2 linked regions of the Notamacropus eugenii genome follow. The main gene of each other region encodes a partner of the protein of the gene in region 2 in a complex. Links are inferred from orthologs where the notes say so. Each region holds a gene or a part of one and is shown on either strand. Other genes may lie near its edges.

Region 1 (7,226 bases), on a different chromosome or scaffold from region 2:
AGTTCACTATGTGAAGTCATTTAACACAATTTTTTTAAAAATCACATACACATGCACAATGAACCAAGGATGGGGTATGCTTCATCTGAAACAGAAGATTTAAGGGAGCAATGATGAGTCTTCAGGTATTTGAAGACGCTATCATATATGAGAGAGATTCTATATAGTATATGTAACTCCAGAAGGCTAAACTGGAATCACTGGGTGGAAGTTACAGGGAAGGAGATTTAGGTTCAATAACAAGGAAGAACTATATAACAATTAGATTTTTCCAAGAAGGAATATAGGTTGGCAGTGTTTAAACACAAACTACAGGAATACATTTCCAGGATACTGTAAAGAAAGTTCTAGCCTGAGTGTGAGATTAGCTTAGATGACCTCTAAGATCCCTTTGGAATACAAGATCCAATGATTCAATGATGCAATGAAGTGTTTGGATAGTAGTCTTTAATGTTGAAAAGTATGTCAATATCATGAACACTTAAAAACACATGAACATAATAAATGTCTCCAAATAAGCCATTTCAGAATGTGAATTACATGGTCCATCATGCCTTAAGCAATAATCAAATACATATTTGATGCAATATGTTAATACAAACTTTGATTCCCTAAAAAACATTGATGCATTTTAGAATCAACCATTTGTTTCAAGAAAAATAAAAACTAAAACATTCAACTTTCTTAGGATGTATGAACAACTTTCATATATGTTTATTAGCTATCTATAAACCTGTTCTTAAGAAGAAAATAACTTTACACAAACTCAAAACCTGAGTAATTTTTAAACATTAAACTCATTTTTTTTTTAGCTAACCTGTTTTTCCTAGACCATTGTACCTACTTCAACTTGCCACTCTTCTCTTCTTGGCTCCTCATTAACATGCAAGTAATATCTATTATTCTTTGTACAGTCGCTAACTTTTTAAGAACAGGGAAATAAGGACACAAATATAATAGATGGGGGAAAGACAAAGGAGTAAGAAGAGTAAAATTGAAAGTAGGACTCAAAAATCCAAAAGGATAATTAATTATAATACCAAAGCCTGTCTGGTTTCCAGGCAGATTCGTTCTTTAGGTTAGATTTATGGTGGATATGGTATGAGGTTCCCATGGGTCACCTAAAATCTACTGGTTATCCTAAGAAATCTGAACCACTTTCAGGGCATCTCCCAATCTAAAACCTTGATAAGAAAGGGTCAAATCGGGGGCTCTCTTGGGAGCATACATTGCCTTTCAGGTGACTATTTTTAAAAGGTTCTAGAACTGATCTAGCTCTCCCCTAGTCCTTCGACTTACGCAGAATACAGAGCCAGGTTGAACCTTTGGAGCAATTCTCTTGGACACATAATCAATTTGGGCCCAGAATTAAACCATAATATTACAGGTGTCAAAATACAGCAAGTCAAATGACTTGCCCATATTGTTGTATTTGTATGCATGTTGACCAGCATGAATGATGCTTTTAGCCGTTGGATGTTCATTTATTGTTTGATTCAGAATTTCTGAAAACATACTTATAACAGACCAGATCATAGCAGAGTAATAATAACCAGCATTTACATAACAAAGGACTTTATAAATAGTCTCATTTGATCCTCACAACAACCCTGGGAGGTAGGTGCCATTATTATCCATATTTTACAGATAAGGAAACTGAGACAGACCAGAGGTTAAGTGGCTTTCCCAAGGTCATACAACTAGAAAACGTCTGAGGCTGTATTTGAACTCAGGTCTTCCCAACTCCAGGTTCAGTGCTCTGTCCACTGCATCAACCCCAAATCTCCTCCCAGGCAGTCAGTCAACAAGCATTTACTAGGCGAAGTTTACTGTGTGCCAAGCATTGTGCTCCACAGTGAAGTAGAACACCAAATCTCACCCAATCCAACACGTATTCAGGATCAGACTAGAATTTAGGGGATGAAAGATGAGAAAATTCCTACTTAGGAACTTCCTAACGCATGGAACTGATGAGTCCAACTTAAAACTTCATCACTTGCCAATGATATGCTCAGTCACATTTTCTAATTGAAAATTTATACTGGAGTGAACCCAAATGTAAAAGTTGTCTGTTTTTGCTTAGAAAATAAAAGATATACTGCAAATCTACCATTTTATTCTGTACCAACACAAATATACAACTTTACTGTTGTAGTTTACAAGCTATTTAGTTTAATTATATTACATTCATGAGTAATACCAAAGACATTGCTAGAAAAAGTGAAATTTTAGCATTGAATCTATTTATTACAAATAATGCCTGCAGATTGTCTAAGGGATGAAATCACAACTAACTACTTATTTTAGCACAACTTCATTTTGGTAACAGCATTGTAGAGTGTGACACTAACCATGTGTTACCATAATAAATAGAGAGCTGCCCCAACTGAAGCAAGAGTTTCCTTCTCAAATGCAAAACAATTTAAATGACAAGTACCAGAACCAAACAAAACAGAAGATACAAATATTAGATAGGAAGCTTCATAGCCCACCTTTCTTCTTGACTGGCATTCTTGGATCTCTCTGCAGTCACTGGATTCAAGGACTTGTTTAGGTATCAACTTTATCCAACTGGGCTGAAGCCAAGAGCTAGGTGGCTGTGGCAAAGTACTTCGGCCGCTCAGTCTTGAAATCCAAGCTCAGTCTTCATTTTCACCAAGATATGAAGTAATGTTGAATATTTTTTCCACAATTAAACTTTTAACACCTCCCACAGAATTTAGAAGGGAAAAAAAAAGACTGGAGTTTCACAAAATTGTCTTTCAATTCTTATAAAATATTTCTTAATCTATAAAAAAACTGAGAACATTATTGTTGGTATAGAAAACATTATTAGAATTCCTCTTCAGGCAGCAAATTTGGTGTAAGTTTAATGACTCAAGGCACAACCCAAATTTAAACAACTCTCACTACTCTACAAAACCAACTTCAAAGCCATCCAGATTTAATGATAAAAGATGCCCAGTTCTACGGAGGAGAACTTTTCAGGAAAAAAAAAAGAAAAACTTTTTTTAAAAAGCAAAGTTCTTTGCCTCTGATTTCTGAAAAGGTTGGGTGAGTTTGAGATGTGCCCCCGGGACCGAAAGGCCGATTTCTATTCAGGGAATAAGAAGTTTCCGATCTCGCTCCCTCAGATCAGACAGCATCCAGGTCCAGTCCCTTTCCTTTTTCCCCTTCTCTGCTGCCCGAGCTACCCAGGCTTGTTCTCTAATGAATGCCACTCTGATCCTCCCATGTATTAAGCGAGGGAGCAGGAAAGCGCCGCTCTGGCATGGAGACGTTAAAGTGGCAGCGCTCTCAGTGGGCACTGGGTGCAGTGTGAGTTGGCGGCGCAGCCTTCCTCACCCTGGAGCCATTCACATCATGCCATCTCCTCTCATCCAAGCAGCTGCCTGGGGTGAGGAAAAACACAAGACCCCCTTTCTCCAAAGGAAACACCACCACCACCTCCACCACCCGGACCTTCCCCGGGCTGCCTCGGAGATCTCGGCAGCGCCAGCCCGGCACTCTGCCCGCTCCGTGCCCCCAGCCCTACCCGCACCGTAGCCCCTGGCACAAAGGGGGAGAGACCTTTTGGGGGGCCGTTTGGCCGCCACACACACACACCGTGCCCCAGCCCCGGTGCCCACACCCCTGCCTTGTCTGAGAGGAGCAAGGAGAGGCGGCAGGAGCAGCAGTTATGTAACTCGCGTTAGGGGCTTCTGGAAGATGGAAGGAGGTGCGGGCTCCGCTGGGGCTACGTTGGCTAGGATGCCTGGGGCGGGGGGGTGCACGACTACGCCCCGGGGGTCCCCCACTGGGGCGCGGGGGGATGGGAGAGCCTCCCGGACGGGCTGGGGTCTGTCATCGCCCCCCACCAAGCCACTTCCTTTGTGGGGCAGGGGGGAGCAGGCAGGGGCTCGGCTGACATAGGAGGGCTCGAGATGGGGTTGCATCCGGGTTGGGGAGACGCGAGACCCCGGTCCGCTCGGGTCCACGACAGCCAAAGGGGGGACCCAGGCCTGAAGGCAGGTGGGGGCTGAGGGAGGAGGGGCGGGCTCGTCCTGAAAAAGGGAGGGGGAGAAGAGAGCGGAGTGGTTGCCCGGCCAACGCCAGGTGGGCGGGAGCGACCCGCCCGGCTTCTCCCACAGACCAATGAACGGCCCCGGTTCCGGGGCAGCGGAGACCAATGGGAATCGGAAGAGAGGGCGCGGCATTTGACCGTAGTGGGCGGGCCTCCCTCCCCCTCGTGCTGGGGCTGGGGTAAGAGGCGGGGCCTGGGGCCAGAGCTCGGGAGGGACGGGGGCCACTGTGGGTCATGTGAGCGCGCAAGATGGCGGCGCCCAGGTGTGAGCGGCGGGACTCTCGGTGAGCGGGCTGCGCGTGGAGACGTAGCAGAGGTGTCGGCGTGGGCAAGCCGCCGCAGTCGTGGGGGTCCGACCGTAAGCCTGGCCCAGCCCTCCGAGCTGGTCTGTGGGGTAGGCCGTGCGAACGCGTCCTTATCTCTAGTGGGGGAAGTCGAGGCTCCGAGGGGGCTTGTTTCCTCTCAGGCCACCCCGGGACCGATGCAGGGCACGTGACAGGCCCCTCGGGCTTAGAACCGTGTTTGATAAGCTGCTCTCCTAGAAGGAAAATTCTGCATCCCTCATCAGAGCATCCTAAATGTGGAGTGGAAGGGTCCTAGAGGTCATGGAGCCCACTTTCCTTACTTTACAGATGGGGACACTGAGGCCCAGAGAAATAGTGACGTATCTAGGGGCAAACCTCCCGGAAGTGCCTTTGGGCAGGATTCGAACTTAGCTCCCTGCCTGCAAGCCCCGGGCCCTCCGTCCACATCCACGTAGCAGACAACTGGGTGACCATCTGTCAGGGAAGCGATGGAGGAGACTGTATTTTAGAAAGCAGGAGTCAGCTGCAGACATCTCCTCACTGGGGCTCTGGGCGAGTTATTTAGCCCGTTACCTCAGTTTACTCATCTGTAAAAAAAAAAAAAAAGGGGGGGGGGATAATGGTTGTTATGAGGACCCAGAGTTGTTATGAGGACCAGATGAGATAATAATTGTAAAGTGCTTAGCAGGAGCCGGCACACAGAATGCCTGATATAAATGTTTGTAGTAGTTGTGATAGAAGTTGGGAAAACTAAATTGAATTTTTTTTTACAAAGGCAAATTTGACTAGGTGACTGCAGAAGTTCCCTCTAACGGTGAGACTGTGATTCTCTTGTGTAACTGTTAAATTCGGGCAAGTCTGGTATAATAGAAAGTCTCCTGGTTTTATAGTCAGAAGACCCAGGTTGAAATGCTGATCTTGTATTCAGCTGGCAAGCCCCTTTTCTGAGCTTCAGTTTCATCCACTGTTGCTGCTTGGTTCTGGAAGAGGACCGTGACGTCAAGAGGTGATGCCGTGATATGCAAGTGAATTGGATTTAAGTGAGGGAGAGCTGTGCAAAGTCACCAGCCTCGCTTTCTTCTCTAGAACCATCTCAGTCCAGGAGCCAGATGTAGGTCAGGACAGCTGGAGGTGGCCCTGGATGCAGTGGGGGCCTTTTCCAGCCAAGGTCTTTAACTGGTCTCAGTTTGACTGAGGCAATGTCCATTCAGTGATTAAGGCTTAATAAAAAATTTGGCAAAGAATAACTACTTTAAAAAAAACAGATCTGGGAGGGGAAGACCCTTAGGGTTTCCATCCAAAATAAAAATAATTGCTACTTACATTCATTCTGAGTCAGTCAGGGCTGTGACCAAGTAGGGCTTGGCCTGGGACCTATTGTTGGCCAGTCTATGAGAGCCTAAGTGATTTGGGGTTAAGACTGGTCTTCTAGAAGAAAAAAAAAATTCAGAGATTAAAATTTACATTCCCTTTGGGCAGAGCACCTGCACGTAAGGGTGTGATACTCTGTGTGAACTAGAGAGAGAGAAAAAGAAGGAAGAAAAGATCCTCTGTAAAATGAGGACAATAAATCATCTTATTAAGGCACAAAGCACTTTGAGCTGCATGTTATACATTATAGCCAGTGGTGCCCCTGTGACAGCCAACTCCCCCCACCCCAAAAAAGTAAGTTCCCACACGTTTTTAGTGCTAGTGCCTTCCCTCTGTTTATTATTCCGTTTATCCTGTACAAAGTTGGTACATAGTTGTTGTATCTTCCCATTAGATTGTGAGCTGTCTCTCTATTAGACTGTGAGGTCTTCAAAGGCAGGAACTGTCTGTTGTATTTTTCTGTATCTCTAGTGCTTAGAACGGTGCCTGAAACTTAGTAAATGTTTATTGACTGGCTTTCAGTAATTCCAGGTAGGAAGAGATAAAGGCCTGTACCAGAGGGGTGACTATCAGAGGAGAGAGGTGAGATGTTAAAGGTAGGATCGACAGGACGTGGCAACAAATTAGATGTGGAACGATAATAGAAAGTGTGAAATCAAGGATGACATATAGGTTTAGAGCCTGGATGACTGGGAGCATGGTGGTGCCCTTGACAATAAAAGGAAAGTTCTGAAGAGGGCGGGGCTTGGGGAGTGTTCAGGACACGTTGAGTTTTAGGACTTTAAGATATCCAGAAGATGTGAGACTGAAGGTCAGGAGAAAGTTTAAGACTGGATAAATAGATCTGAAAATCATCTGCATAGAAATGATCATTAAATCCATGGGATTTGATGAGATACCCCAAGCAAAATAGTATAGAGAAAGAAGAGAAAAGGGCCCAAGATAGAGCCTTGAAGTATTCTCATGGTTAGTGGGCATGATCTGAATAAAGATCCAGCAAAGGAGCTGGAGAAGGAGCAGTTGGACAGGTAGGAGGAAAACCAGGAGACAAGTGTCACGAAAACCCAGAAGGAAAAGATTATCATGGAGAAGAAGGTGATGAGAGGCTGCAAAGAGGTTAAGAAAGATGAGGATTAAGAAGAGGTCATTAGGGAGGGAAGGGGAGAAAATTATGATTATTATCGCTTATGGAAGTGATTGTTGAAAATTGAAAACAAATAAATTTGGAGGGAAAAAATTTTTTTAAATAAATAAAAAAACAATGGCATTCAGCACTTGACATGGCAGCCAGGAATGTTGCTTTGATCTTAGGTTAAACTAATAATAATTGTCATCATTTATAGGGTGCTTTAAAGTTTACAAAACATTTTTCAAATATGATCTCATCTGATCCTCACAACCAAAAAAATATAAATAAAAGGCCTTTAGATTGGGTAAGTAAGAGGTTACTAGTAATTTTAAAGCCAGTAATTTCAGTTGAATGTTAA
Region 2 (7,376 bases):
CTTCAAAACGTAGAGAAGTGAAAAGGGGCTTGACTATTCTTTGCCTGGCTCACCAAAAAGGAGGTACTGGTTGCTAAAAGAGAAAGCTACGGCAAACTTGGGAGCAAGATAACATAGAATAAACTGGGTGATATCCTCAAAGCTGGCATTCTAAGGCCACAGTCTGATTGAGGGCCAGCAGCCCTGGACCAACTGCTGTTCTCCCTCTGAGAGCCGAGTTATCAGGCCACTTGTGAATACCTTTCTCCCAGCAGCTATTATTGTTAATAATACTCTGCCAAATGGGTCCAAGCTGTATGTCAATGTGACCTGTCCTGTCTTGTTTGAGGTTGCCCCACTTAAGTTCGATGACTTTTGCTGCTTTTCTTAGAATCGTAGGACATTAGATGAGCCCACATATAAGATTACAATCTATGTTCTATAAAGTTACATGCCTTTTTTGTCCAAGATGACCCTTACATATCATTAAGGTATAATATGTTGCTGAATAAAGATGAGACCACAAAAATAATTACCAGAGAACAGAAATGCAAGATAAATGAAGATACAGCCAGACAGCTTCTACGTGTTCTTAGAAAGTTCAAGTCACCAGGTTCAGTCCAGGTAATGGAATAATGGGGAGATATAATGGTTGATCAAAGAAGTACAGGTGGAATAAAACTGGAGAAGGGAAAATGCTGAATGAGAGAGAAGAGAGGAGAGTGAGAGAAAGGAGAGAGAGGGAGAGGGGAGAGAGGAGAGATGAAAGAGAAGTAGGGAGAGGAAGAAGGGGAAGAAAGAGGAGAGAAGGAAGGAAGAGGGGGGAGAGAGGAAAAGAGGGAGCAAGGGAGGGAGAGAAAGGCAGGGAAAAGAGAGAGATCTGTCAATTATACATGAGGGAGCTTGACTTTGATTATTGAAGAATCCTATAATGCCATTACAAGTGCTGCTCTGTGAGCATTTAGGGAAGATGCAGTTAGCTAGGCTTCATCAAGAACAGATGGTGCCAGACTCATCTTGTCCTGTTTCTGACAAGGCAGCTGAAATGATAAACCAAAGGAATGCCATGAACGTAGTGTTTGCTGCTGCTGCCGAGGCATTTCAGTCACGTCCGACTCTCTGTGACCCCATTTGGGATTTTCTTGGCAAAGATCCTAGAGTGGTTTGCCAGCTCATTTTACAAAAGAGGAAACTGATGCAAACAGGGAAGTGACTTACCCAGGGTCACACAGCGAGTAAGTATCTGAGGTCAAATTTGAACTCAGTTCTTCCTGACTCCAGACTGAGTTTTCTATCTAGTTCATCACCTAGCTGGCACAGTAAACTCAGACTTTAAAGCATGTTAACAAAAGCCTCTTACGGACAAGGCCCCTTGTGGACAAGATGGAGTGGTACAGGCTGCATCAGTGGTGTCAAACTCAAACAGAAATGGAACCCTATAGCCACATACTGAATTGGAAAATCACAAATTGTAGTATCTATATTTTATTTTTATTTATTTTAACATTTTCAATTACATTTAATGTGGTTTGCAGCATTCAAATTGAGTTAGACACCTCTGGATCAGACTAAACATTTTAGGTGATTTATTCAGATTCAGAACCAGTTTAATGACTAGAACCAGAGAGTAGTCCTTAATGAGCTGATATCAATTTAGTTAAGTTTCATATCAAATTGCCTTAATCCTATGTTAGCAGTGACTCTAGACCTGGGCTCAAATTCACCTCAGATGATGACTAACATTCCTGGGCCCCAGTTTCCCCATCTTTAAAAGGAGGAGGTTGACCTAGATGACCTCTAAGATTTCTTCTAAGTCTAGCTCTGCGATTTTACACAGTAAGAGTCAAGGACAGCCTAAGCTGCTTGCAATGGGCACCTATATGTTAAAAATCCTGGTAAGACATAGACAAGATTCATGGGAGTGGACAGATTACACCCTGACTGGAAGGAGGTAATATTCACATACATTTATAGTCTCATCTAAGCAGGAACTATATAATCAATTGGCTGTAGAGAACCACTAAAGGTGTTGTCAGTAAGGCAAGGATGAATTTAAAGTCGTACTTAAGATTTATCAAGCACTATACTTAGAATGGATTAAGAAAAAGTACATACAGCTTAAAGCTGTACTTAGTGAACTTTTATCTGGCAGCATCCTCGGGATGGATGAAGAAGTAGGGGGTAGAGACTTCTCCAACAGTGACAGCCTTGAATTCAGTTTGCTGCTGTGGGTGGCTGTCAGGGGAGAGAAGTGGGGTAAGAAAAAAACATTAGGGAAAAAATTTTTTGTTTTAAAGATTATCGGACTGAAAGTCAGGTCTGTGTTCGTCCCGCAGTCCCGCCACTAATTTACCACGTGAAGGTGGGCAAATCCCTTCCCCTCTCCTCAGCCTGGTTCCTGACTTTTAAAAGGAGATGAGGGTTTTTTCGTCTTTGCTGGCAGTCTGGTGAAGCCTATGGGCCCCTTCTCCGAATATTTTCAGACCTTATAAGAAAATGCTACCTTTCAGCTAGAGGATAGCGACGATAAAGGTGCGTGTGTGTTTGTTTCTGGTCCAAGGTCTCTAAAAGGTCTCAGAAGAGCGGTCCGTGCTGGGGGACGGGCAAGGGCAGGTGCAGAGGCTTTGGACGTGACATCCACCTTGGGGATCGCTCGGACTACGGGGGCCCCCGGGACTGCCGGAGAGGGGAGGGAGCGGTCCAGCCGTGGCACCACGCCCGTCCCCGAAGCGCGGGTTCAAGCCCGGACTGCTGCCTGCCTCCTGCCCATTTTACAGATGAGGGAAGCGAGGCTCGCAGAGGCAAAGGGACTGGCTCGGGCTCCCACAGCTGGCCAACAGCGGGGCTAGACAGGAGGGCCCGGGAGGTCCAGGCCCCCTCCCCACCGGCCGGGGCCGGCCGGCCGTTACCTTCTGGATCTTCCCCAGGAACAGATCCTTGGCGTAGGACTGGCACCGCGGACCGGTGCGCAGGTGCCGCCGCAGGCTGCCCGCCGTCCGCGGCCGCTGGAGGAGGGTGCCCAGGACCCGGCCGGAGCCCACCCCGGCCGCCCGCAGGAGGAGGAAGCCGCCGCAGCTCATGATGCTCCGCGTGCCGGTGCCAAGCTGCCACAGAGGAGCCCCAGGCGCCGGGAAAGGCACGGGCGCCTCCCGATTGCGTCACAAGCGGACGCCTCCAGATGGCGTCACGAGCGGCTACGGGCTCCCGGCAGCCCCGGTCCCTCCCCTCCAGCCTCCCTTCTGTGGTCCGGATTGCGGCTGCGCAGCCTGAAGTGCGGCACGTGGAGCGAAGGCTCCTCCTCCCCACTCCTTCTCCCTATTTATTCCCTACTAAAGCTGGATGATTCGGACCACCGGGTCGCATGTGACGGAGCTGGAGGCGCTGCTCCAGCGTCAATTAAGCGCCTTCTTTGTGTTGGGCCGCATCCACACGGTCCTGGCAGTCCAGGAGTTCCCACCTTAGGGTGCGTGTCAGTGACTGCGTCCTTATGAGGCGCCTATGGTATAAAAGCAGGGCAAGCTGAGCGGGGAAGGCACTCGCAGCTGGGGCCACTCGAGCCGAGTCTGGAGGGAGAGCATTCCAGACGGGGGGCACAGCCAATGCAAAGACACCAGGTCGGGAGATGGAGAATTGTGGATCTCTATTGATTATCTCCAGTTTATCCTGTCTGTATCTCCCTAGATGGGTGGGTTTTTGTGAGTGGTTCCCTCGTTAAATCGTGAGCTCCCGACTGGCAGGGGTGGTCACTCTACCAATGCAGGTCAACACTTTTTTGGGAACTCTTACTCTTAGCCTAGAGCCTGGAGAAGTGAAGTGATATGCTAGTCTCCCAACCACGAAGTGTCATGCTCTTTCTGGCTTTGAGTTAGGCTCCATAGTCACCACACCATGTTGCCTCAACAAGCAATTTAATGTTAAAACTCAAAGCAAACTATTCCTTAACTGCTTTAGCATGCGTTTGTTTCTCTGCCAATTAATAATTTTATAAAGAACACTGAACTAGGAGCTGGAAAGCCTGAATATAAAGGACTGCTCTGCTGAAGACTTCCCCATCACCCCTGGAAAGTGAGTGAGATTCTTTGGAGCAAAGGTGCTACAATGTTTCCAAGTGAGGCCACAACCAGATTACAATGTAACCAGGAAGTATTTAACATGATAAAAATACAGTAGAACAACCATAATATATTATTTTTCTAAGTTAACACAGGTCAGCTGGAATCCTTATGTGATTTAGTGGCCACCTTCTTTGAGTTTGACCCCAGGGTCAGAAGAGGGGAGATCAGAAGCCAGAACAGTTGAAGGGGAGACATGAAGCTAGAATAGTTGTGTTAGAGACAAACTACTACTGCAGGAGAGAGAGATGATTATTTATAACCCTGGGCCTGCTGCCATGACTGTCTCTGTTCTAAAAGAGGGCCAAATGACCATCCTTATATTAATAATGCACTAGTCTTATTAATAAAGTGATTAAATTACCCAGAAACTATGTCTCTTGAACCTTTTAAATCATCACACAGAGGTAGTTTTCAGAGGAAGAAATTAAAGCTATCTATAGCCACATGAAGAAATGCTCTAAATTGCTATTGATTAGAGAGATGCAAATCAAAACAGCTCTGAGGTATCACATCACACCTATCAGATTGGCTAACATGACAAAACAGGAGGATGATAAATGTGGGAGAATTGGAACACTAATTCATTGTTGGTGGAGCTGTGAGCTGATCCACTTTGGAAGTATGCCCAAAGGACTATAAAAAATTTGCATACCCATCGATTGAGCAATACTGCTTCTAGGACTGTATCCCAAAGAGATCGTAAAAATGGGAAAGGGTCCCACGTGTAGAAAAATATTTATAGCAGCTCTCTTTGTGGTGGCCAAAAACTGGAAATCAAGGGGATGCCCATCAATTGGGGAATGGCTGAACAAATTGTGGTATGTGAATGTAATGGAATACTATTGTACTATAAGAAATGATGAACAGGAAGACTTCAGAGAGGACTGGAAGGACTTATATGAACTGATGCTGAGTGAAAGGAGCAGAACCAGAAGAACTTTTTATACAGCAACAACCACAGTGTATGAGGCATTTTTCTGGTAGACTTAGTACTTCATTGCAATATAAGGATTTTAAAAATTCCCAATGGACTCGAGGTGAAATGCCTTCCACCTCCAGAGAAAGAACCGTGGAATTTGATCACAGAATGAAACAGACCATTTTCTTTTGTATTATGTTTTGTTTTGTTTTATGATTTCTTCCATTCATTTTAATTCTTCTATTCAACATGACTAAGGTGAAAATGTATTTAATAGAAATGTATGTATAGAACCTGTATAAAATTGTATGCCATTTCAGGGATGAAGTGGGGAGGGAGGGGAGAAGGAGGGGGAGGGAGGGAAAAAATCTAAGACATAGAACACTGAAAACAAATAAAATAATTTAATTTAAAAAATCATCACACAGGAAGGATAGGATCTGATTCATCTTGGTACCCACCAAATGACTGATCACACACCCCTTAGGGTTGGGCCATGACTTCTCAGAGGCACCAGCCCCCACTTTGGAGATGATTTCTAACCCTGACCCCAGGCATAGAGTCCCTGATTTCCATAACTGAGTCAACTTGGCTCCATGAGTCTGTGGCAGGTACATTCACCAAGTAATAACTAGTGTCTAGAATGAGGAACAAAGGAAGTGGGGATAGGTTATTTAGCACTTCAGATGCCTAATTTTCTGAGCGGCAGCATAGGATAAAATGTTGAATGTGGTGTCGGAAGACCTAGACTTGAATCCTGCCTCAAATAATAATCTTGTGATCCTCAGCAAGCCACTAGGATTCAGTTTCTCATTGGTAAATTGTGATGTACCCACACTACTTATTCCTCAGGATTGTTGTAGGGAAAACACTTTGAAAATGTCACAGTGCTCTATAAATCTGCGTTGTCTATATCTGTAGCTGAAGAGTTTCAATCTCTTCTGAAAAGAGAGAGATAGAATTCCACTTCATCTATTCATTAATTCATCAAATTCAGGTAGGCATTTACAAGAACTGTGCTGAACTTTTATCTACCACAGCCTAGCTTCATACCCCAGAAATAGTTTGTGATGGAAAATCCTGAAGGCTAGTGAATCTCTGACACAGCCTCGCTGAAAATTTCTTATTTTGGAAAATTTTAGCCAAAGAACAGAATCTAATGTCTTCCAAGTATACTCTAGCACACTAGTACATGGAAAGTGAAGGGTATGACCAAGGATCAGAGTGGTACAGCTAATAATTATAATGCCAGAAAGCATTAATGACTAGTCCTGACCATGTGTGAATTGGCAAGTCAAGAAAATTCTGAGTACGTAAAGTAGGCTGTGAGAGATACTTCTTCAGCAGTGGTTTAAAAAAAATCTATATGCTGCAGAATAGCATAAACCAGATGGCTGCCATCTCATATTGCTAGGTAGAGGCTGCCTGATTAGGTAGATTATCTAAATGGATCTTCTGTACTTTTCCATTATCCTTATTAATTAGTGTTAGTCCTTTCATTGGTGCAGAAGACTGAACAATACTGAAAAACAGCATAAAAATTTTCTTTATTGAAAAAATGGTGAATAGTTTTTGATCCCAGCATGAAGTATTTTTCAAAAGAGATTTCAGGGGGCAGAACAAAGATGGTGGAGTGAAGGCAGGGACTTGTTTGAGCTCTCCCTAAACTCCTCCAAATACCTTTAAAAATTAAACAAATTCTAGAACAACAGAACCCACAAAATGATAAAGTGAAACAAATTTCTAGCCCCAGACAACTTGGGAGGTCAGCAGGAAAGGTCTGTTGCACCAGGGTGAGAGAGAAGCACAGTCTGAGCTCCAGCAAATCTGGAGCAGGTCTTGGTTACGAATCACTGGCAGCAGAGGTAGATTCCAGACCTCTCAGCCCATAGATGCCAAAGACAACTTAGAAGGTCAGCAGGAAAGTTCTGTTCCACTTGGATGAGAGTGAAACAGAGTCCAGCCCCAACCTCAGCAAACCAGGAGCAGGCCTTGGGAGTGATTGAATCAGCACTGGAAAATAGAATAAATGAGGGGGGAAGGGGTGATGGAATAGGATGGAGGGAAATACAGTTAGCAATAGTAACTAACTGAAGCAAGTTTCACTGATAAAGGTCTGATTTCTCAAACAAACAAAGAACTGAGTCAAATTTATAAAAATAAGAGCCATTCCCCAAATAATAAGTGATCAAAAGATATGATCAGTTTCCAGATGAAGTAATCAAAGTTATTTATAAGCATATGAAAAAATACTCTAACTCACTATTAATGGGAAATTCAAATAAAAACAGTTCTGAGGTACTCACACCTATTAGATTGACTAATGGTACAGAAAAGGTAAATGACAAATGTTGGAGGGTAAG

The links. Proteins that work in one complex are often made in the same cells at the same time.
Region 1: ACAD9 (region 2) and TMEM126B share a complex: the UniProt entries of both Homo sapiens proteins name them as parts of the mitochondrial complex. The link is inferred for Notamacropus eugenii from reciprocal best matches to the Homo sapiens genes ACAD9 and TMEM126B.

The regions. Positions count from the first base shown.
Region 1 is NC_092876.1:115,835,768-115,842,993, reverse strand, and holds the start of TMEM126B (complex I assembly factor TMEM126B, mitochondrial), read left to right. Parts: upstream 1-4,197; 5' UTR 4,198-4,457; intron 4,458-7,226. UniProt on the Homo sapiens protein: As part of the MCIA complex, involved in the assembly of the mitochondrial complex I. Participates in constructing the membrane arm of complex I.
Region 2 is NC_092874.1:425,042,204-425,049,579, reverse strand, and holds the start of ACAD9 (complex I assembly factor ACAD9, mitochondrial), read right to left. Parts: upstream 3,223-7,376; 5' UTR 3,060-3,222; coding exon 2,889-3,059; intron 1-2,888. UniProt on the Homo sapiens protein: As part of the MCIA complex, primarily participates in the assembly of the mitochondrial complex I and therefore plays a role in oxidative phosphorylation.